Drosophila melanogaster: one gene and its partners. The protein of the gene in region 3 interacts with the protein of the main gene of each other region in a pairwise test. Each region holds a gene or a part of one and is shown on either strand. Other genes may lie near its edges.

Region 1 (7,224 bases), on a different chromosome or scaffold from region 3:
GTTTTCTTGGCAGATCCCGATATGTCACGGTTAAAAAGAAAGCTAGGAGAGAGTGCACGAAGAAATGAAAATCTGATGCTAACACAAGAAATGAAATTAATTCACATGAATACACTTATTTATTATTATTAATTGATAAGTGGAAAAACAATGCATTCGTGTATTTTTTGTATTATTCTTTGCAAATGTCTAATGCACAAGATTATTATTACAATTAAAAATCTTCAACAGCAAATTTTTATTTTTTGTTTTTATGGTATATACAATTATTTAGAATTAACACATTTGTCATTTTTGAAATTGTATCTTTTAAAATTCTCGATATTTACTACATTTAAACACCCCACTGATGATACAGCAATAGTTATCTTAATTTCGAAATTTTCGTTAATCTTATATGAACTCAAATCATATATGTTCACAAGACAGAAGATAAGCATTGATGTATATCTTTTGAAAGGAATACGGTATTACCAAAGACACTAGAATAACAAGATGCGTAACGGCCATACATTGGTTTGCCCAAAGACCCTAGAATAACAAGATGCGTAACGCCATACGATTTTTTGGCACACGATTTTTTGGCCGTGGCTCTAGAGGTGGCTCCAGGCTCTCTCGAATTTTTGTTTGAGAGCGAGAGAGCGAAGAGCGCTACAGCGAACAGCTCTTTTCAACGCACAAAGTGGTAGGAGACATCTGTATGTGTGCACACGTATGCTCATGCATTGTAAATTTGACAAAATATGCCCTTCACCTCAGAAGTTTTTAGACTTTAAATCTATATTATTTTTGATCAATTGGCACCATGCGAAAAATTCTTGTTTTGCATTGCCTTAACGTTATTATTATTTGAAAATATATCAGAAATAGCCAAATCTATGTACATATTATCACAAAAATAAATTTCAAAAATGACTTTATATAAGAATATTTGTCATTAGAGTATTCATCTTGCGGCGTGTGAAAAATTAATAAGGCAATGATTGTTGAGTGCTTGTGTCCGCACTTCGTGCCTCAAGATATGAACAAAGCATTAGAATTATTCTAGTATATTACTTTGATATTACTTTTGCAATAAACAGTTATCATATTTAATTATTTAGTATATTTATTAAATCATTTGACTTAATATGATGTAACATTAACATTAAAAGTGTTTTAAAAAAATAATTTCTCTTTTAAAAAATTGTCAGATGAGAGACAAATTAGAATTAAACATAAATATAAATGTGTAAACGGTAGCTAATTCGAGCGGCGATTTTAACAAACAAATTTAAAAAGCTTTAAAATTATAATAGTCAGGGCGCGAATTTTTAAAAATTTTTTTATTTTATCATATTGCTAGGAAATTGGCAAAAACTACCCTAATATGTACCATGTAAATTCGTTTCTTCGATCAGAATTGATTTCGGCCCGAAAATCGTCTTCTAGCACAACACGCACACTTATACGCGTTCTCGTCTCTTGTTTTTACTCACACAAGCAATCAAATTATATTTTTAGATTTCTTACGCTCTCAGCGGGAGTGAGCGGAAAGAGAGTAATTTTGGCAGTCACCAAAGAAGTGGCTGCATAGTGCCAAACCAATGTATGGCCGTTACGCATCTTGTTATTCTAGTGTCTTTGGTTAAACTAAAGTATTTTTAAAGAAATACCGAACTACTTAAACGGAATTAAAAATTAAATTTCTTTGAAATTTATTGATCATCAACCGATGGTATATTATAAATAGACTTATATACTACAGGTATAACCTGTATATAGTATGATCTAAATCGTTGATATAATGAAATACTAACTACAGTCAAACCACGGACAATTGTTTATTTGTTACGTTCATTATGACTTCAATATTTCATATTTCATTATAAATTTCATTACAAATCTTTACATCTTTCTTGATGTGTGAAAATGTTATAAGGACTATTGAACTCTTTGGTTTGTGCTGCGATTTTGTGTCTTTTAAGCGAGAAGGTATAATTTGCCAGTCCATGTGCGGTCACACTGATGACAAATCGTTTTTATCAAGCGATATTGGGAACTAACTTTCGAGTTTGCATATGTGTATGCATATGTATATTTAATTAAGTTTTGGTTTTGTCTGATACACAAGATGATTATTACAATTAAAAATCTTCAACAGCAAACTTTTACTATTGAGTTTGCCCCGGAAAAAACGGTATGTGTACAAATAGTCAAATACTAGTATATTCACATGTATGGTATATACAATTATTGCAAATGCATATGTGTGCTTATACAGGTATTTCTTACAATTAATTTGTTGTACCATAATAAGCAGGGATTCTGATTACAAAAGGTTTTGGAACTGAAGAAGAAAATATTCGAGGAGCGCGGTCCAGAGTACGTCGCCGAAAAACAAAAACTGATCTACGCTGGCGTCATATTGACGGATGACCGCACCGTTGGTTCATACAACGTTGATGAAAAAAAGTTCATTGTGGTAATGTTGACACGCGATTCGTCTAGTTCAAATCGTAATCAACTTAGTGTAAAAGAAAGTAATAAATTGACTAGCACCGACGATTCAAAGCAATCTATGCCTTGCGAAGAAGCCAACCATACCAATTCGCCTAGTTCCACAAATACAGAAGATTCAGTTTTATCACGTGAAACCAGACCTTTATCTAGTGACGAATTGATTGGCGAGTTGGCCCAGGCTTCCTTACAATCGCGCGCTGAATCTAATTTGCTTATGGGTGACGAATACAACCAAACAGTCCTATCAATGGTGGAAATGGGTTACCCAAGAGAGCAGGTTGAACGTGCGATGGCTGCTAGTTATAACAACCCGGAAAGAGCCGTTGAATATCTCATTAATGGCATACCTGCAGAGGAAGGTACTTTTTACAATAGGCTGAATGAATCAACGAATCCTAGTCTAATCCCCTCCGGACCGCAACCTGCGTCGGCAACCTCTGCCGAGCGTTCAACAGAATCAAATTCAGGTAACTTGATGGGATTTCAATCAGCAGTCAATTTATGTATTCTTGTATGAAACGAAAATATATAATTTCTACCCAGAAGTACTAAATTTGCACACTTCAAAACATAGTGAAATTAATAAACCCGATTTGGCTCTCGCTCTTTAATGAAATTATACGGCCTTAACATAATTGCGTTAGTTTTCCTGGTCAAGAAATATTGTTGATCAAAACTTATGTTGCACATTCGTTAATAAATAATAAAAGAGTTCTCTTAGTACTGGAAATATATGCAGCTGTTAAAGATTCACTAAAATGTTTGTGAGCTCGTTGTCCCGCAGTATCATTTACATATATATGTCAACAGACACTAAAGGAGCGATAATTCACGAATTTTTGTCACTATTCTCTTCAAGGACAGGGCATCACTATATGTTTTTAGTTAATTTAATTATTATTTAATTATTTATATTTACGTTTCAGACCCCTTTGAATTTTTACGTAGCCAGCCACAGTTTCTTCAAATGCGATCTTTAATTTATCAAAACCCTCATCTTTTGCATGCAGTATTGCAGCAGGTAAGTACACTTATAATAATAATTACATGACACGTAAATGATAATTTTTTTTACGTATAGATTGGTCAGACAAACCCAGCCCTTTTACAACTTATTTCGGAGAACCAAGATGCGTTTCTCAATATGCTTAATCAACCGATTGACCGCGAATCGGAGTCAGGCGCCACCGTTCCTCCCGTTTCGAATGCGCGGATTCCTTCAACTTTGGACAATGTTGACCTCTTTTCTCCAGATTTAGAAGTAGCTACTTCAGCACAAAGATCAGCCGCGGGTACAAGTGCAGCACATCAAAGCGGTAGCGCAGCGGATAACGAAGACTTGGAACAACCTTTAGGAGTATCAACCATTCGTTTAAATCGCCAAGATAAGGACGCAATAGAACGGGTATATAGGAGTGAATAATTATATATGGACTGTCGAGTTACTTAATATATTCTTCTTCTAGCTAAAAGCTCTTGGATTCCCAGAGGCCCTTGTACTGCAAGCGTACTTCGCTTGTGAAAAGAACGAGGAACAAGCAGCTAATTTTTTGCTATCGTCTAGCTTCGATGATTAGGATGACAAAATGTAAGAAGTTATGCAAATAACACCGGAAGCGTTACATTTAAAGTTAGATGTTCTTAAATTAAATGTAAAATGTCGATCATAAAAATTCTTTTATATTCTTTTAATACCGTCGGCGTATTGTACTTGTTATTTGTTAAAAATTGCAGCCATGGGTAAAATAGAGTTACGATGTCATTTTTACTAAATATTTCACCACGACATTGTCTTCAGCATAAGACTGCAAATGTCTACAAATTTATCTGTGCCAATCCATGGTAGGGAGGCCTTGGATTAGGCCTTCACCTAATGGATGGCAAAGTATATTTCTAGTGTGTGTATTTCTAGTGTATATGCAATACACACATTAATTATTTTAAGGTCGTATTAAGCTAAAGAAGTCTTATGATTTATTCTTTCCTTATCTTGGTTGATTTATAAAATATTTTTTTGACTAGTGGGAGTCCACAATTAAGTCACTTAACACATAAAGTACTTTTTGTCGTCCTGGATGTTGGACATATGACTAAAATATATTAATCATTGTATTACATAAATTTCGTGTTTTTTTATTGTAAATAATGTCCGCAATTATGCCCTAATAAGCTGTGGCGTCTCTTTGGTGATTCCTTTCAGGATGAGTCGGAGAAATAAAACAATTTCATTAATTGCATGACATTCATAACAATTCTATAGTCGAGTGCCTCGACTATCAGATACCCTTTACTCACGAAAAAACTAATTAAAATTTTTATAAATATTTTTTATTGCTTATTTTTACAGGAATAAATGTTCTCCAGTTTTACAGTACTTAGATTATCATTAATTTACAAATATACAAAACTGTAGAACATTTGGACTTATGATACTTTTCTGCTTGCCAATTAATACGACAAATATAAAACTCGAACATTGTAATATGCATTATTAATGCAAAGAATTCTACACTTTAATATTAATAAATCTCTAATAGTTTCATGTATGGCTATGGTCCCCTCTATAATGTTGCTACAATTATAAATCTTTCCTGACTCAATGTAGATTCAAAGACACAAGAATTATTGGTAGATTTGGTAGAACGCAGGTAAGTGGAAAGAGAAGCACTCGTTAATACTTCTTTCCTTGACACGTTCCAGAACTTTAGACTGGGTCGAATTAACTTTATAAACATGGGCATACCCACCGGACCACAAATAACGTTATTCTAGTGTCTTTGGTTTGACTGTGTTAATGACAAATCTTTAAGCTCAAAATTGTAGTATAGAAACTCTTTGGTGACCATTGACACGAATAGGACTGCCGACCACAGTGACATACATATAAAGTGAAAACATACACATTTATGTGGAAATGGTCTGGCAACGACGAAAGACAAGCTTCACAGCTTATCTAACGACAAATCAAAAAGTTAGAACGATAGAGTGGTGTTTACACACAAACTACCGGATTGATGTACACTTTCTCATATCGATATGACGCAACCTAGTGATTTTGGAAGTATTAGTAAGATGCTACGCGGTGAAAAGATACAAAATATTATAAGATTGTATATATGTAAAGGGAAAACAATTTATCCTAATTTGAAACAAATCCATGCTACAAGTAATTGAACATTTTACCAAATTTTGTCGATTGTGCCCAAGGAGAAGAGAATCGAGATCAGGTTTCGGAATGGCAACGAAAAGGAATAGTACGCAAGTCGGCGCCGAATTTCGCCAGCAGACTCGTCATAGTCAAAAACAAAGATGGATCAACTTAACGCCATGGTTTAAAAAACTGCCTAAAACTGCAGTCAGCAAAGCTATTTGTCGTCGTGATTTTGGGAAACAGTTTTTTTCACGTTCTAGTAGAAGAGAAGTGCCCATAATACACATCATTTATAGCCAAAGAAGTTTTTAAAGATCTTTGCTAAGATATGATTCATATTTACAAGACAAGACAAGAACAGCGGAAATAAAGAACGCGCGAAAAATATTCCGCAAAGAAGTTGAGCAGAATTAAAGTAGAAAAGACGCAGAAAGGTATCTATAAATGTAGAAAGTCATAGCAGAAGTAGTTATAGAAATCCGTAATCTAAGGCCGTAACAGAAGACGTTATCCAGTAAACCAATGGTGACATTGCCAAGCTGCCTTTAAACCGTCTCTTACTTTTTACTACCATTCTGAGAACGTAAACTATCCATTGTTATTAAATACAATAAAAACATATATAATTATAAATTAACATATAGTATATAGGAGCCGGAGTCAAAATTCTGATGCCAATGAATTCGGCGCCGACTTGCGTACTATTCCTGCCTGCGCAAGTCTAAATATTAAAGTAAAATATTTCTTGCACTACTTTTTGACCTTCCTCATTTTGCTTGGTTTACTCACAATACATTCTCGTATAAGGCCTCTCAAATCACTCAACTTTACAGAAAGCTGACAAAAGTTGACGTCGGTACCAAATTTGACTTTCATGCGACAATTCATTAAATTCAAAATCTTTGTGCAAAGCACTTAATGTTAATAATTGTATATCCGAGAAATTAAACCCAATATATTTATAGCTTAATATCCCTTAACTTTTACTTCATCTTATTTGACAAAAATATATGTATTACTACATTACTAGTGATTATGTCCAAATGTTATAATTAGGGGTAGCAGTGCGCCGCAAATCAGAATTACCAATTCACTATATTTTAGTGCTTGAATACTATTGCTTCCATTTATATCATTCGTAGCAACACCTCGAGATTCCTCTAGCAAACAATAATCATGCTGATCGCTTTTCGTAAATCCCCCTTGGGTAAGCTCTGGTAAAACATGCACAGTTGCTACGTACAAAAATGTTCCAGCGGAGAATAGCATAGCTATACCAGTGGCATTCACGGAATTTAACGTGTCCTTCTGCTCCTGTCCGATCCCAAAATACGTTAAAATAGTCATAAGGGGAGCCGACAGGGAAAATAAGACTAGGTGTCTGCGAATTTGATGTCTGTCTACTTTTTCGTGCAGTAAGAATGTCACTAATCCAAATGCTGCTGGTGCCTTATGAAGCATTATAGCTAAAAATACAATTATCTCAACGTCTTGATGGCTAGTGGTGGCAGCTGCTCCCAATGCAACTCCATCAGCTGCAAAAGAACAACAATTTTTAAGATATGGTGGGT
Region 2 (8,054 bases), 3.7 Mb from region 3:
GAACCGGGCTTTGAAAGAAGTCGTGGCAGTCCAAGTGGTACCAATTCATCGCGAGAATATAATAGCAATATATATCAGGCCTGTGTGCGGTGGGCTATGTTGGAGCAAATACGGAGTCCAAGTCAGTGCTTTAAAGATGTAAGTTTTATTTGAAAAGTTTGATAAATGCCCAGCTGTACTTAACAAGCATTACTTATTAAACACCAAAGGTCATACACAAGCACTTCTGGTTGAAGAGAGAGGAGATTTGCGCCCAGATAGAGGGCTGGATCGAGGAACTCGGTAAGCCGCAGTACACCGAGAGGGCCAGTCGCACTATATCGTTCAACTCAATGGTCCTGCGCCGCCACTATCGCCACCTGCGTGAGGAGTTGTCGAAACTGAAGCCGCCACGTGGCCTCGAGGACTTGGATGCGCCCTTTAATCCTGTGGCCACGCTACCACCGATGGATGTGTCCGCCGTGGCTCCTTCACTAGCAGCCACAAATACCGTCCAAGCGCAACCGGATGATGCCATAGTGACCGATATTACCCTGCTCGGCGAGAATGCGGATGAATGCGAAGCTGATGGCGATGCCGAAGGCGATGGAGAAGTGGACGATGGCTTTAAGGGTTTCCCGCAAGAAGAGGGTTTGCTGACGGGCGAGGAAGAGGTCGTGGAAATTTTAAGTGATACGGAGAACGAGAGCAGTATGTGGCAATAGATAGAGAAGGAAGAGCTAATAGTCTCTGGTTGCCCGAGGATGCTGGAGATGGATATAAAATGATGCTGCTCGCCTACCGCACTGCGCTGCCCTAGACATTTTTATTTATATGCATGAGTTTTGTTTTATGGCTTTACTTGATTTAATTTTTGTAAGAGAGACTGCAACAGAACTTGGTGTGCTTTACTTAATGGAACCGTAATGATTAATGTTATACAAACTACGCTAAGGAACTTTGCGCAGAAGAGGGCGTGCACACATACAAAATGCATACACTCCCATTAAAAAAGCATTGTCAGAATCTTTCCATTAAACAAACTGAATATCCCACTTCATACAAGTATGTATGAGATTATTGTATCGAACTTTTTATAAATGCTTATATGAAAGGATCTATCAATTTCTACAAGAATAATCCGTGTGTGTATAGAATAGAATGAAAATATCACCATTATAAAACAGTTACAACAACAAAAACCACCAAAACTAAATTAATGTGTATTAAACTATGTATGAACGTAGTGATTTAGTTAAATATTGACACAAGAATATGAACAGTTAATTTTTCAATTGAAATAAAATCCGAGATATATTTTGTTTCCCCCAAAAGTATGCTTTCAAATATTTGGACTAAATGCTGATCATAAATATTTTCGTCGTCTAACGAAAGAGAAAGATAATATATACTACTTTATCACATTCGGCATGTTTATCTTTATGATGCCAACTTTGTCACTTTAATTGGGAATCATTAAATATTATAATCCCTTTGCGGTGTTTTTTCGGTTGCTCAACTGAGATGGTAATGTTTTAAGGTACTTTGGTAAAAACTGATTTTTTTAAAATATGTAGCTTATTTTTCTTGGCACTCGAGTTGTAATGAGTTGTGAATTGGCAAGTTAATTTATTTTACTTTCACTATGCCCTGTTCTGTGTAGAGAACCATTCTAGAGAGCACCAGTGCGCTCAGATGCTCTTGAACTGAAGGCTTCCAGCTCTCTGCGATAAAACATTTTCGATAGAAAGATCACGCCATTGAGTATCGGGGCTTTGTCGCGCTCGGACGTACAGCGGAATTCTTCGGGAGTCTTTTCCCGTGCGTTAGCCCAATTAGTTTATGGCGGATATAAAGTGTGAGCTCGCCTGATCATGGAGCTGAACAATGTTACCATCGAGGACGCCGTAAGTCCAATGTTTCTTTGCATAACCAAATAATAACTGAACGCGTGATTTTATGTAAGAGGAATTCCCCCAATTGATCTGTTCCTATTTTGATTTTTATCGGATTTTGTTTTGCGAGGCACTTCTTCACTCAGTTGCATTTCCCACTTAATTGTTGCCGATGTGTTATACATATGCGTTTTTAAGGGGTAAGACGCTAAGATAACACCCAGTAATTAACAGTTCATTCACAAATTATTTTTTCAACGATCTGCGCCAGTAAGTAACTGCCGATCAAAACGATTTGTTATATTTATGCGGCGCATACCTTTCGGTCCGCAATGCATGAGCTGACAACAAGCTGATTTATTAAGTACCACCACAGCCAATCAGCTATTAATTTATGGTCTAATTAAAATCACTGATCTCAACAAGCTGAGAAAAAACCGTCGCCAGCGATCGAAGCACTGATACTAACGCTCAATTAATCACGATTGGAGACCAGAGCCGTCAGTCAAACTCGGGCCAAGATTAAATTCCGCCCCCCATGGGGCGTTTTAAGCCATATTGTTATGTTAATAAATTCAAAACATTAATAGCAAATCTCATAAATAAAACAATGAATTTTCAGTACTCTGCAATTATACAATAAAATGAGAGAATATCTCTATGCCCGATACTAAAAACCACTCATTTGCATAAACAAATAGATATTTGCATTAAGAAAATATAATTACACTGATCAATAATATTGATGAAGATTTTACTTTCAATTATTAATTAATTGATGGTAACAAATTGAAATTGTACGATGCCCATTGATCATCCTTTTACAAATAGGTAAATGCTTATATGGAAAAGGCGTTTAATTAAAAAGAAACTATTTATATAAAATAAAAACTGTAGTCTTTTGAGCAGTGTTTAGTTGAAAATAATTTGATGTTGCATATTGATTAATTTCCAGACAGATGCTTCCAAGTCCTACTCTCAAGCAGCTAACACGCCTCCAAGTAATGAGAAACCCAAGCCGCAACTGCTCTACGCCATCAACGATAATCCCCCATGGTACTTGAGCATCTTCCTCGCATTCCAGCACTACCTGACCATGATTGGAGCCATTGTTTCCATACCTTTCATCCTGACGCCGGCGTTGTGCATGTCCGATGAGGACGCCAACCGGGGCATCATCATCTCTACGATGATCTTCGTCACGGGCATCGTTACCTACTTCCAGGCCACGTGGGGCGTCCGTTTGCCCATTGTTCAGGGCGGAACTATATCGTTCTTGGTGCCCACCCTTGCCATCTTGGCCCTGCCGCAGTGGAAGTGCCCGGAGCAAGCCGTAATGGATGCCATGGACGAGGCTGAGCGGGAGGAACTATGGCAAGTGCGTATGCGGGAGCTATCCGGCGCTATTGCCGTGTCCGCCATGGTGCAAGTTATCCTGGGCTACACTGGTCTGGTGGGAAAAATCCTTAAGTACGTAACTCCATTGACCATTGTACCCACTGTGTCCCTGGTGGGTCTTACCCTATTCGAGCACGCAGCTGAAACCGCATCCAAGCATTGGGGCATTGCTGTGGGGTAAGTATTACTGATAGAAATACCCAGATAGTTATAATAGTTATTAATTAGTTTTATTACGTTCGAAATACTGGATTGGCAATGTATATCGTTTCAAATTAAAAAAGCTTAGTAAAACTATACCTATGATAAATGTTTTAAAGTTCTTAGAAATTTTATAGCCTGGTAATTTGTTTTTTGGGTTTTAATCTTTTTTATAGAACCACTGGAATGCTGACACTCTTTTCGCAAATAATGTCGAATGTTCCCGTGCCTATCTTGGCCTACCGCAAGGGTCACGGCTTGGAAATTCGCCAGTTCCAGTTGTTCCGCCTCTTTCCCGTCCTGCTGACCATCATGATAATGTGGGGTCTGTGCGGAATTCTGACTGCTACGGATGTCTTTCCTCCGTCACATCCTTCTCGCACCGATGTTCGCCTGAATGTGCTGACCAGTGCAAAGTGGTTCTATGTCCCGTATCCGGGACAGTTTGGCTGGCCATCGGTGACGCTGTCCGGCGTGCTTGGCATGTTGGCCGGAGTACTTGCCTGTACGGTGGAGTCACTTAGTTACTATCCAACGGTGTCACAGATGTCCGGCGCCCACTCGCCTCCGCTCCATGCGATCAATCGCGGGATCGGTACCGAGGGCTTTGGCACTGTCCTCGCCGGTCTGTGGGGAGCTGGAAATGGAACCAATACCTTTGGAGAGAATGTTGGCGCCATCGGGGTCACCAAGGTAATTTATATAAAAGAGAACACTAAAATTGAAGTTGATGGAAATATAAATATCTGCATTTTAGATTGGATCCCGACGTGTAATACAGTGGGCTGCCTTGATAATGGTCCTCCAGGGGGTAATTGGAAAGTTTGGAGCCATTTTCATTCTCATTCCCGACTCGGTGGTGGGCGGAATCTTTTGTGTGATGTTTGGCATGATTATAGCTTTTGGGCTATCCACCTTGCAGTATGTGGATCTGCGATCCGCAAGGAATCTTTACATATTGGGGCTCTCAATATTTTTCCCGATGGTATTGTGCCGCTGGATGCAGAAGAACCCTGGAGCTATTGACACCGGAAACAAGACCGTGGACTCAACGTTATCGGTGCTACTGGGCACTACAATTCTCGTGGGTGGAGTTTTGGGATGCTTGCTGGACAATATAATCCCAGGGACGCCGGAGGAGAGGGGCCTAATCGACTGGGCAAACGAGATGCCCCTGGGCGATGATAATGTTAATGATGGCACAGCCACCGACTACGATTTTCCACTTGGCATGGATGCCATTCGTCGTTGGAAGTGGACCTACTATATTCCGTTCATGCCGACTTACAAGCTCCAGAAGCAAAGCTGATCGTGGGAAAAAATGCAAATAAGAGCCATTCAATTGGTGACTTGGTTTTTATTTATTTTTAGAAAACACTTTTCGTGCTCACGCTCTAATTACAATTTGAACTTCGAATTCGAATGCTACCCAAAACTCTAGATCTATTATTTTTTGTTCCGTGTTTCTGTTAATTTGCTTTTTAAATTCGCTTATTGTTTGTTGCTACGATTACCTAACACTCTTCCGTTTCGCTACCAACTCGCATATTTTCTATTATTTTGCAATAACATCAATAGACCTAGCAAACGAAAGTTGTCGTTATTAAACTCTATTCAAATCTTGAAAACAATCCATCAGTTCTGTATAATGCAAAAAAAAATTGTTGTTAAAATTTATATAATAGAAATTTTAACGCATTTTCGGCGCAAGGTATCCTCACAAAAATAGCATAGAAAATACATATACATATATTGTGAAACACGTCTCTTGTTTACTTCCGGTCTCCCTGTCTCCCTTTTTCCCTTTCTGTTTCCGCTTCCGTTCCGCTTACACACTTATAGATTAAAATCAACGTTTTATGGCTATTGGTTAAATCTAAAACCACCGAAGGAACCAAGGCACAATCATTTGAAAATCGTATATATATGTATGCAAATGTGCATTATTGAGTCACGATCTATGGCTGAAACTCCGCTATATCCAAACTACAACAAACCTACGACTAGGGGCAGCGCTCAAAAGTCTGCACTAGAGTATAACTTTGGCTAAGTTCCATTAAAAAATTATCAAAAATCTTTATGCCTAAGTTTGGTATTGGGTATTATGGTATAGGGGATCTGGGATCGGATCGCAGGGAACCTCGGGGCTCCAGTCTAGAACTTGTGCTGTTCATTTGGGTGGTGGTAATGATGGTTTTGGATGGGGGCGGGATGAAGCTGTTGCTTCTTGGTGCCGCCGCTGCTGGCACGCGAGGATGACGATGAGGCTGTGGTATTGGGCGGCGTGCTCATGGCCTGGCCATGTCCGTGCCCACTTCCGATTCCGTGGCCGGGACTCGTCTTCTTCCGTTTGGAGTAGTAGCAGAAGATGCAGAAGCCATTCTGCGGTGTGGTACATCAAATGTTTGTTGGACTGCGAGTGGCCGATGAAGTGCGGTAACGCGACCCAGATCTAGAATACATATCAAGTTGTAATCACTAATTCCTCTTGAAAGTCATTTAACTTACCGCGAAATACTGGATGTGTAGTCTCTAACCGGTGTCCTTGCTTCACGCCTTTGGTAGGAAACCCCTTCACCACTACGACTGCTGCTCGAGGTCGGTGGCTCCAGCAGGGACATCGTTCGATGGTCGTATGGACGAAGGGATCTCCTGCCCAGGGTGGCGTATCCATCCAGGTGGCTGCTCCCTGCGGCACTGCTTCCACTGGTCGCTGTAGGCAGACTACCATTGAGCGTATACGAAGATCTACGCTTTGGATTGTAGGTGTTGTAATAGCCGCTGGCAATGGCTCCATTACTTGGACTCGAACTGGAGGAGCTCTTGTATCGCATTGGCACCGAACTGTAATCGGTGGTCTCGTAACGTTTGCTGAGGAAAGAGGGCGAGGTATTCCTAATGTCATTCAGACTCTTTCTTGGCTTGCTGGTGGCCCCCGCCGATGATGCAGAGTAGTCCAAAGTGGAGCGGTAAACAGGGGGCTTTAGCTCCGTTCCCACGGGACTCAGTTTCAGGGGTCTAAAGAACTGCTGGGCTATGTCCGGTGAATGAGCTCTTGGTGGTGGATCCATGTCCGGAGCATGCAGTTTGTTACTGGAGCGCGCCTTAACTGCCGCTTGTTGCTCCCGGTAGTAGTCCCTCACAGCCGATGGTCCGACTATGCTGCTAGTGCGTCGTGGTTTTTTCTGCTCATTGAATCGACTGTAGAAGCTACGCCGTTTAATCCTGTCGATCACACTCTCGTTGGGATCAGAGCTCTCGGAGCAACGAGTGGGCGAGGACAATGAAGCTCTTGACAACCGGGAAACTGTGGGCGAGGGCGTCGCGTGCAACATATAGTTGTCCTCGGAGCATATGGACCAATTGTCAAAATACAACTCCGGCTCTTCGGTGGGCGATAGGAAAGTCGAGGTGGAGGCGCAGTCATCTTGGTAGCTCCTTGAGTCCGAGGAGTAGTTGGCAATGTTTTCGAAGGATGGCGTCAAGAGCGGATTATTCCGATTAATCTCATGTGCCGATGAGGTTCTATAGCCAGAAGTTTGCGAACTGCAATTATTATTGGTATTTGTTGAGTTATTGTTGGTGGCGTTCTCCATGGACTGCTGGCTGGAGCTGTTGTTGGAGCTGGCACTTTTCATGGCTCCCGGATAGGGTGGCAGATTCGAGTAGATGCCCATTCCCAGTCCTCCATTTCCATTGATCAAAGCCGGATTGGTTTTAGATCCCCGATAGCTGCTTCCACTTGTGGTAGTTGTGGTGGCGGTGGTCACCGAGCTGGGGGCACCACTGGCGGACACATTTGCGCTGGCCAGATCAAGCATCAGACCCTTTCGCTTCTCCTTGCTGCTTGGCATTGTTGTGTTGGTTGGAGCACCGCTGGTGGTTACGTTCTGTCCATTGTTTTGCCTGCAATCTGGGCAAGCTGTTTCGCAATTGCAATTCTCTTCGCCATTTGCCGTTGAAGAGACTTTGCTTTTTGTGCTCTTAACCACATTCTGATAGATTGGCGATGTTGGTAGCGAGGCGTCCAGCAGCTGATCCTGTTCTTCGCGAACCTGTCGCTCTATGTTGCTGGTGGATCGGGAGCTTCTCACCCGGCGTTGTTCACTGCTTTCCCTGTCAAATCGACGCAACAAACCGCCGAACATCTTGTTAACTGCTCCGCCTTGTTTTCCCTGCCCCTCTGGGCATCCGGCGTGCAGCTCCTCCACACTGGCAGCTCGCTTGGGACTCACGCCTCCATTGGGTTGTGATCTGGGTACGGATCTCTCTCTTAAAGAGCGTAGCATGGTGTCAAACCGGGATCGCTTATCCACCCGTTTGTCGTCGGAGAGTCCAGTTTGTTGGGACTTCTCTGTATCCGAAACGTTCTTCTTATACTTCTCTGGAGAGCTGCGTTCTTCGGGAGACCCTTGCTTTTGGGTGCAGGCCAAAGATGCTGCTGCTCCAGTAGAACCAGCCTTTTTCTCCTTGCTCATGGCGGAGTCTCGTAGTTTCTCAAACTTCTGTCCCAAAGCGTAAAGCAAACCCTTGCTGGGTTTCTTTTCCGGTGACTTCTCCTTGGGCTTAATGACCGGACTA
Region 3 (6,985 bases):
TAAATTCATAGAACTCCCTGCCAGTATACTTATCTTGGTCCAAGAACCTAAACCGTTGAAGACATAGTCCTTGATGTTTTTCGAATTTGAGCTTAAAGGAGTCTAGTTTTTGAATTTCAATCTGCAACTGATCCCCTAATTTCTTGCTTCTGCAGTATTCATCCCGTACCAGTTTTTTGGCCAGATTGGATGATCTTCGGACGGATTGCATCTGAGTCAGTTGGTGCTGTAGTTTATGGCTTGCAAACTTCAGCTGAAGAATTTCGGGATGAACTTCCTTTACATTTGTCAAAAATATATGATCATCCAGGCAGGGATCTATTTTTGGGCATTCCGGTATATTGGTACCTAGTTGGTAATTGAGTCGATTTACGCGCCGCTTTAAGCGAAACACCTCATCGTAAATATCTTCGAGTTCCAGATTGCTTTTCTCGTTTGATTCTTCTAGAACTTCCTCAGCGATCCAGCAATCTTCGGATTGCAAAACACTCTGCATCGTGCAGTGAAACACTTTTTTTGGCCCGTTATGTTTGAATGCGAACTTTGATTGTGCCAGTTTCTTATCATTTGGTTTAGTGTTTTCCATTTTACTTATTCCTGCTGCCTTGCACGATAAATTTTGGTCCACTGATTGCAGTATTGGTAATGAATTCATCTTGAATTCATTCCTCCAAATTAACCAATATCCAATTAACTGTGAACTTCAAAACGGAAACTAACTCGGTACACAACGAGCACTTCCAGTGTTTTCAAATCATCTAACACAAATCTCAATGAAGGCTTAGATAAAATATCGTATATATCGATCTATCTATGGGTTTGTTCGATCTTTTAGTTGGGTACGTGCAATTATTATATCCTTTTTCAAAGCGTCCCTTAATTTGTAGTTTTAACTACAACTAATGCAGTCTTCAACGCAGATATATACGCAATATATAAAAATGTTATCGGCAAGAAAATCCACTGAAAAATTTGCTCAACTCCCATTCACGGAATTTCAAATCCTAACAAAAAGCCTGCTTAATGTGAATTTAAAATACCAAAATGAAGACGGAAAAAGTTGGGATACTATACTGTCCCAAATAAAATAGCAAAAACATAAACTTATTTATATATAAATACAATTATAAGGAAAATACATACTTATGTTGTTATTTAAGCCAGGTTCTAGACACTCTGAACTCCAAAAATGTAAGAAGAGTTTGGATGCAGTGTGCACTCAATGGGTAAGCTCACATTATTGAATAGATTTTGCGGAAGGCAGAAGCTTTCCTTTTCACTGAATGACAGCGGAAAATGAAGTGAAATCTAATTAAAACCCTTTGCTAAAATCACAATTGTCAGCGAAAGCTCACGCACACCTGCTCGCAAAACTCACGAGCACACAAACACTGACACAGACAGATGGACAGACACCGGCGATTCCCATACGCAAACAAATAGAGGATCCGATTCTGAGCCCGAGTGGGGCGGTCCTGGCAGGTGAAAAACAGACGTCAGCTGTCCAACTACCCGAATGCGGAATCTGGTGAAAACAGTGCAAAAGTTTTGACCAGAAATAAAAGAAAGGCGAACTGTACTCGGCTTTGGAAGCCACCACCACTTAGTGATGCCAAAGAGAACCTGTGTTTGTAAGATTATTACTAGGAAAACCAAACTTGAATAATACCAATAAATATACAGGAAAGACAGGACAAATCCAATTTATGTTACATGTTTTGGATGTCTACATCACCCATGAAACTCCGCGAATCTAGCCATTAGTTAAATGGCTTAATAAAAATTGTTTATGTTTATTAGGGTAAATCATTGACAGTTTCATAATTTGATTGTAAATGATGGTAATCGGTAGCTTACAATAAGCTGGCTCACCTTTTTTTTTAAGATTTCTTAGGATAGGTAAGTGCCATCTCTGATTTGAATCTAGATGCCACGGGGTGAGGGGCACATAACCTCCAGGAGCGAATAAAACGCGCTGTTGCACACGAAAAATAACAAGCTGCGTTGGTCAATTCATCGAATGTCGGTCAGGGCTGCCGCCAGGGAGAAATGGATTGGGCAATGGGCACTGGGCAATGGGAAGCAGGAGCCCGGAGGTGGGTAAGACCACCTGGGCGGAGGTCCATGCAGGGGGCGACATAAAAGTTTCACACCCAGCCATTTGGCCATCAGTGTCCAACAGAGCCGTTGGGCCGGAGTTGCTGTGTTTGAATTAAAAGAAATTAGTTTAGTTATGCCAATGCTCCCCGGGCTACGCTATTGAGTTATCGGCCAGGCAGGAGTGGGACAACTTGGTGCCGGTGACAGGAGGCAACTCGGATGGATAAATTGCAAGTTTTCCCTTACAATTTTGAGTGTGTGCTGCTTGTCCTTGCGTGCCTGGAATTTCAGAAAAAATAAACGCTTTGCGTGTTGCTCTTCTGATGTCGTTTAACCATTATGTGGCATGAATTTGCCATTTTCATTTAAATGCTGCTCTTGGCAGCGAGTCAACTCGTTGGCTTTTTAGCGACTGTTCTGCATTCATAAGCAGCAATCGTATATATCCTGCGGAATGTACTGAAATTGTTGTTGGATTTAGGTCTAAATGTATACAAAACTAGTATTCTTATTTGTTAAGCCCTGAATAAATTTAATTTTTAAATTGCATAAATTGCAGTGCAGTGAAATCATCTGTAATACCCATAGTACCAAAAACCTTATTTTTGTGAATGATTTTGTGTTGCGTACAAAACCTAGATTTCACGCTGATCATTTCCATTCCTAAGTTTTGAAAACAGCAGAGGTGCCATCACCAGTGACGAACCAGATTATGCTCATGCTGGTGCCATCGAAATTGATAGTGGAAATATGTGTGCTGAATGGGATATTTAAGCGCGCCTATCAAACACGCGCACAATAAATCTTCGTCACGGGCCCAAATTGACATTTTACAGCCAAAAACCAGAAACCAAAGCCACGCAGAGGACAAAGTAAGTTCCACTAGTCCGTGTTCCAGCTGCTTTTTTGCTCCTGCGGCTGCCGCTGTTTCGAAAGCCACTGATATTGTTGTCAACGATGATGGCCCAAGGCATCAGCCACATGTGTGGGAGCCAGAGCTCGTCCCTCCTCAAAGTGCCCTCGCACATGGTTGGCAAAGCCAAACCTTTATTGCCACAGCTCCATGGAGCAACAGCGAAAATTTAATATCTGGCTGGGGCGTGGCTCCATTGGAGCTGGTCCGTTGTTGCTGGCGATCAGAACTCATCGCATTATCCTTTGGCCTGGTGGCGGTTACTCGCTCAAAATAATTGCACACTGCACCCCCAATAAGTCTGTTCGCCCGTTTGATACAGAGAAATTTCTATTCGCATTTCCCAAACAAAAGTGGTGTACAAAAATAAAACTGCATATAAGTTTTAAAACATACGCCATACAAAATATATTAAAAAATGTCCGAAAAAATATTGTGCTTTTCCTCGTTCTGGTTTTCAGTGTCTCTGTGAAGTCATCTGTCAGTACCCTAATGCAAAAAGCATGAAACCTCAGGCCAGCTGTCAACACAACAAGCAAATTGCCGCGGAAGCATCAGTTTTGAGGCAACTAGACTTTTTTGATATGGAAAAACCCCTATCAGTAAGAGTCACTAGAACTATAGGTTTATTTTTAAAAATAATCAGCTCCTTTAACACAAAGTTAGACTTCTAAGTAGACAAACAAAATTTAACCCTCGTCTAATTTGTGTTTCTTTTGAGATTGGTTTTGATACTCAGCTTTCCATGCATTATGTCCGAATCTAAAGTCAACTTCATATTTTAGTAGATTTTTGGAACGATACTCATGTACAAATGATACAAACTGCATGAGAAGTGCACGGACTAAAAACTGTATTAATTAAGGGATCCTCCATACGCTTTATAGGTACACCAAACTAATTACAATTTAAGTAACTTTTAAATTACGTCACCAGAATTTCGAGGTCTTTAAAGCAATCAGAATCCTAGATAAGTTTGTCAAAGTTTTCGTGCTATAGTTATTCTCAAAAAAACATGTTTTTGGTGAACATATTGATTGTTTTGGCTCTATGTTTGGTATAATTAAATATTTAGTAATTTTAAATGAAATCTGATTTATTCTCCTGTATTCTAGTTGGTGTTGGTTATAGCTGATCTTCAGGAGGACCATCTAAATGAACACAATCGGTTGAGGGAGAAGCATGGAAGTCCGCCTCTGACCTTGGACGATGAACTCACAAAGGGATGCGAAGAATATGCTAAAGTATTTCGTTGGTTAATAACAATGTTACCTTTTTACACTTTTAATACCCTCGAACAGGTGCTAGCCAATAATGAAAAGTTAGAGCATTCAAGTTCTGCCGGTCAAAACTATGGTGAAAACTTGTGCATGCGGTCACAAACCCCTCTGCAATGTGTTCAAGACTGGTACGACGAAATCGCGGACTACGACTTTGAAAAGCCACAGTTTGCAATGTCAACGGGTCATTTCACCGCCCTCGTTTGGAAGAATGCGAAAAAAATGGGTATTGGGCAAGCCAAGGACAAAAAGGGTTACTACTGGGTGGTAGCAAGATATTATCCACCAGTCAATGTGAACGGGCAGTTCGAAGAAAATGTTCTTCCGCCGATCAAAGGGTAAGCAAATTAATTACATCTGTAGTTTTTTCTTTCATTTTATTTCATTGCAGGGAAGGTGATGAAAATGGTCAAGGCAATTTGAATAGATTTCAAGTTGACAATATTCCCATCATAGTCATGCTTTGGTTATGCTGGCAATTCACAAATTGAGGGTCATTATCACTTTGAAGTTTTTGTGCCGCAGTTCTTGTAAATTTGTAGTTAAGCAATTTGAAAAACCAATTACTGATATTTGAAACTACTCTGTACCCAATAATAAATTTCACTTTTTGGAAGTTTGGTGAATATGCCATTGTTAGTTATGTAAAACCATTCTATCTAGTTGCTTGCAACTTGTAGTTCACCAGGAAGATATTAAAACAGCACACGATATTTAATGATCGAAACTGGGGAGTGCTGCCTTAACACTGGGGTGTTTGGCATTTACAAAAACTATTTAAATGCATGAAATATTTTGAATTAAAAAAAAGAGAGAATGTTATAGTCGAGTTCCCCGACTATCTAATACCCGTTACTCAGCTGCTGGCAGTGAGAACGTGATATTTCATAATTTTCTGGCATATCGATAGATATTGGAGAATTTAATGGGAAGGCGTGGCTGCATGGATGAACAAACTTGTGCTTTAGAATCTGTATGCTTTATCTTAACCTTATAGCTTATATAATTCCTGAAATTTCGACGGTCATACGAACGACCAGACAGACGGACATGATCCTGATCAAGAATAAATATACTTTATACGGTCAGAAACTCTTCCTTCTACATACTTCCTTGACATACTTTTTAACGAATCTAGTGTATTCTACTTAATTCTACGAGTAACGGGTATAAAATGTGTTAAAATTTATATTATTTGAAACAGCTATTACTACAGCTATAGAAATCCAATCTAAGACGACACAGCACTGGTGGGCGTGTGAGTATGTTGGGTTAATTTGAATTCGTGCGATAGGGATATTCAGTTTTTTTTTTTCACTAGGCGCGGGTTGTTCTGGCCTTTTTCTTTCCGCATTTATTTTTATCTTTTTTGGCAATCAGCATCAGCCGAAAGGAATTCCCCATTGACTATGCCGGTGTCAACAAAGTGGCGGAAAAGAATTAGGTATACTGTCTCGGTTGGCTGTTTATACCCTTCTACTATCTCAATCCTTAACAAGTTTTAGATGGCTTAATATATTTATAAAATTATATAAATTGTAATCATTTTTATGAATTATATCACATTACTTTACCACTAAGTCAAAATGGGTGACTTATGCACCTTTTGGGGTGGTACCTACCACGTACTGGGTATCTATAAGTCGGTGCAATCAACTAGAGCGCTATTTTATTTCAAGCTTTGTTTCCTACATGTCTGTTCCCAAGTGGAAGTCGATGTCTGGGGCTCAGCAGCTGCCGGGAGCGCATTAAATCCTTAAGCACTCATTATTATTCAATCAGATATGGAGTCGAATGTCTTTTTGTTTGTGTCTTACTTAGCCTCGCTTTCTGGGTGGCTGCGCCGTGCGTGGGTCCACCTAATGACATTCAAATTGCTTCCATCTCTGGTCGGTTTCAATTGGAACACCTTGCACAAAAATTAATGGAATTATAGATCACAGCGTCTAGGGATGCATGTTCCCCAGATATTTCTTTGACGTCTGGTTGAGTGTTAAATGTAATGAAAGCAGAAATTCTATACGGATTTGAAAGTTGGAAATTGGTACACTTCTTAAAGAAAATAGTGTGAAAAATGTGTGTCATTTGGAAAACTGTATTTTTTATGCATACCTTTAATGCGTTTGCTTTTGAGGGCTGAATAACTATCTTTCGAATGTCCTTTAGTTCGGGCACTTATAAAATGCTCCCCATCACCACTCTATTATGGTTTGGGTTCGACGGATAGCCGAGTTTGTCAACTATTTACAACTTGAACTTGGTCGTAATATTTATGTGCATCGTAAAGGCCGAAAGTTGGAGCGACGCACTGAGAAAATGTTGTGAAATCAAATTTACACACAAACCATCCCTAATGACCTAGCCCACAGACAGAACGGAAACACGGAGGCGCCACTCCGGAAAAGGACGAAGCCAAGTCGCGGAGCGTTGTGTCTCGTTGGCAGAACTTCATTCGCGGGGCTGGAAATTGTTTAATTTCGCCCTCTCTTAATTATCTGCAGTGTGCCGGGTGCTTAAATTATAATGGCGCTGACCTAATTGAGTAATAATTAAAATTAAGTGCATGCTAAATTGTTATTAATTATAAAGTGCACGCAAAGATGCCACCAACTTTCATCGATAGCGTGCTAAGGGATACTTAAAGGGCCCGGGCTAGTTGGTTGCAAGTGTCACCAATCGAGAAGGGCAGACT

The links. The genes of interacting proteins can lie anywhere in the genome.
Region 1: the proteins of CG31482 (region 3) and Rad23 interact in a two-hybrid assay, tested with the Drosophila melanogaster proteins (one large-scale study listed by BioGRID).
Region 2: the proteins of CG31482 (region 3) and CG6293 interact in a two-hybrid assay, tested with the Drosophila melanogaster proteins (one large-scale study listed by BioGRID).

Annotation. Positions count from the first base shown.
Region 1 is NC_004353.4:306,111-313,334, forward strand, and holds Rad23 (Rad23), read left to right. Parts: upstream 1-1,982; 5' UTR 1,983-2,113; coding exon 2,114-2,179; intron 2,180-2,302; exon of another isoform or gene 2,303-2,320; coding exon 2,321-2,969; intron 2,970-3,428; coding exon 3,429-3,523; intron 3,524-3,583; coding exon 3,584-3,907; intron 3,908-3,968; coding exon 3,969-4,079; 3' UTR 4,080-4,712; downstream 4,713-7,224. Other genes in the region: Zip102B (Zinc/iron regulated transporter-related protein 102B), read right to left, coding at 6,680-7,188.
Region 2 is NT_033777.3:10,305,294-10,313,347, reverse strand, and holds CG6293 (uncharacterized protein), read left to right. Parts: upstream 1-1,734; 5' UTR 1,735-1,853; coding exon 1,854-1,886; intron 1,887-2,829; coding exon 2,830-3,449; intron 3,450-3,649; coding exon 3,650-4,166; intron 4,167-4,230; coding exon 4,231-4,782; 3' UTR 4,783-5,542; downstream 5,543-8,054. Other genes in the region: Bruce (BIR repeat containing ubiquitin-conjugating enzyme), read left to right, coding at 1-138, 210-704.
Region 3 is NT_033777.3:6,597,282-6,604,266, forward strand, and holds CG31482 (uncharacterized protein), read left to right. Parts: upstream 1-3,960; 5' UTR 3,961-4,028; coding exon 4,029-4,070; intron 4,071-4,128; coding exon 4,129-4,257; intron 4,258-4,314; coding exon 4,315-4,631; intron 4,632-4,684; coding exon 4,685-4,784; 3' UTR 4,785-4,920; downstream 4,921-6,985. Other genes in the region: CG1138 (uncharacterized protein), read right to left, coding at 1-655.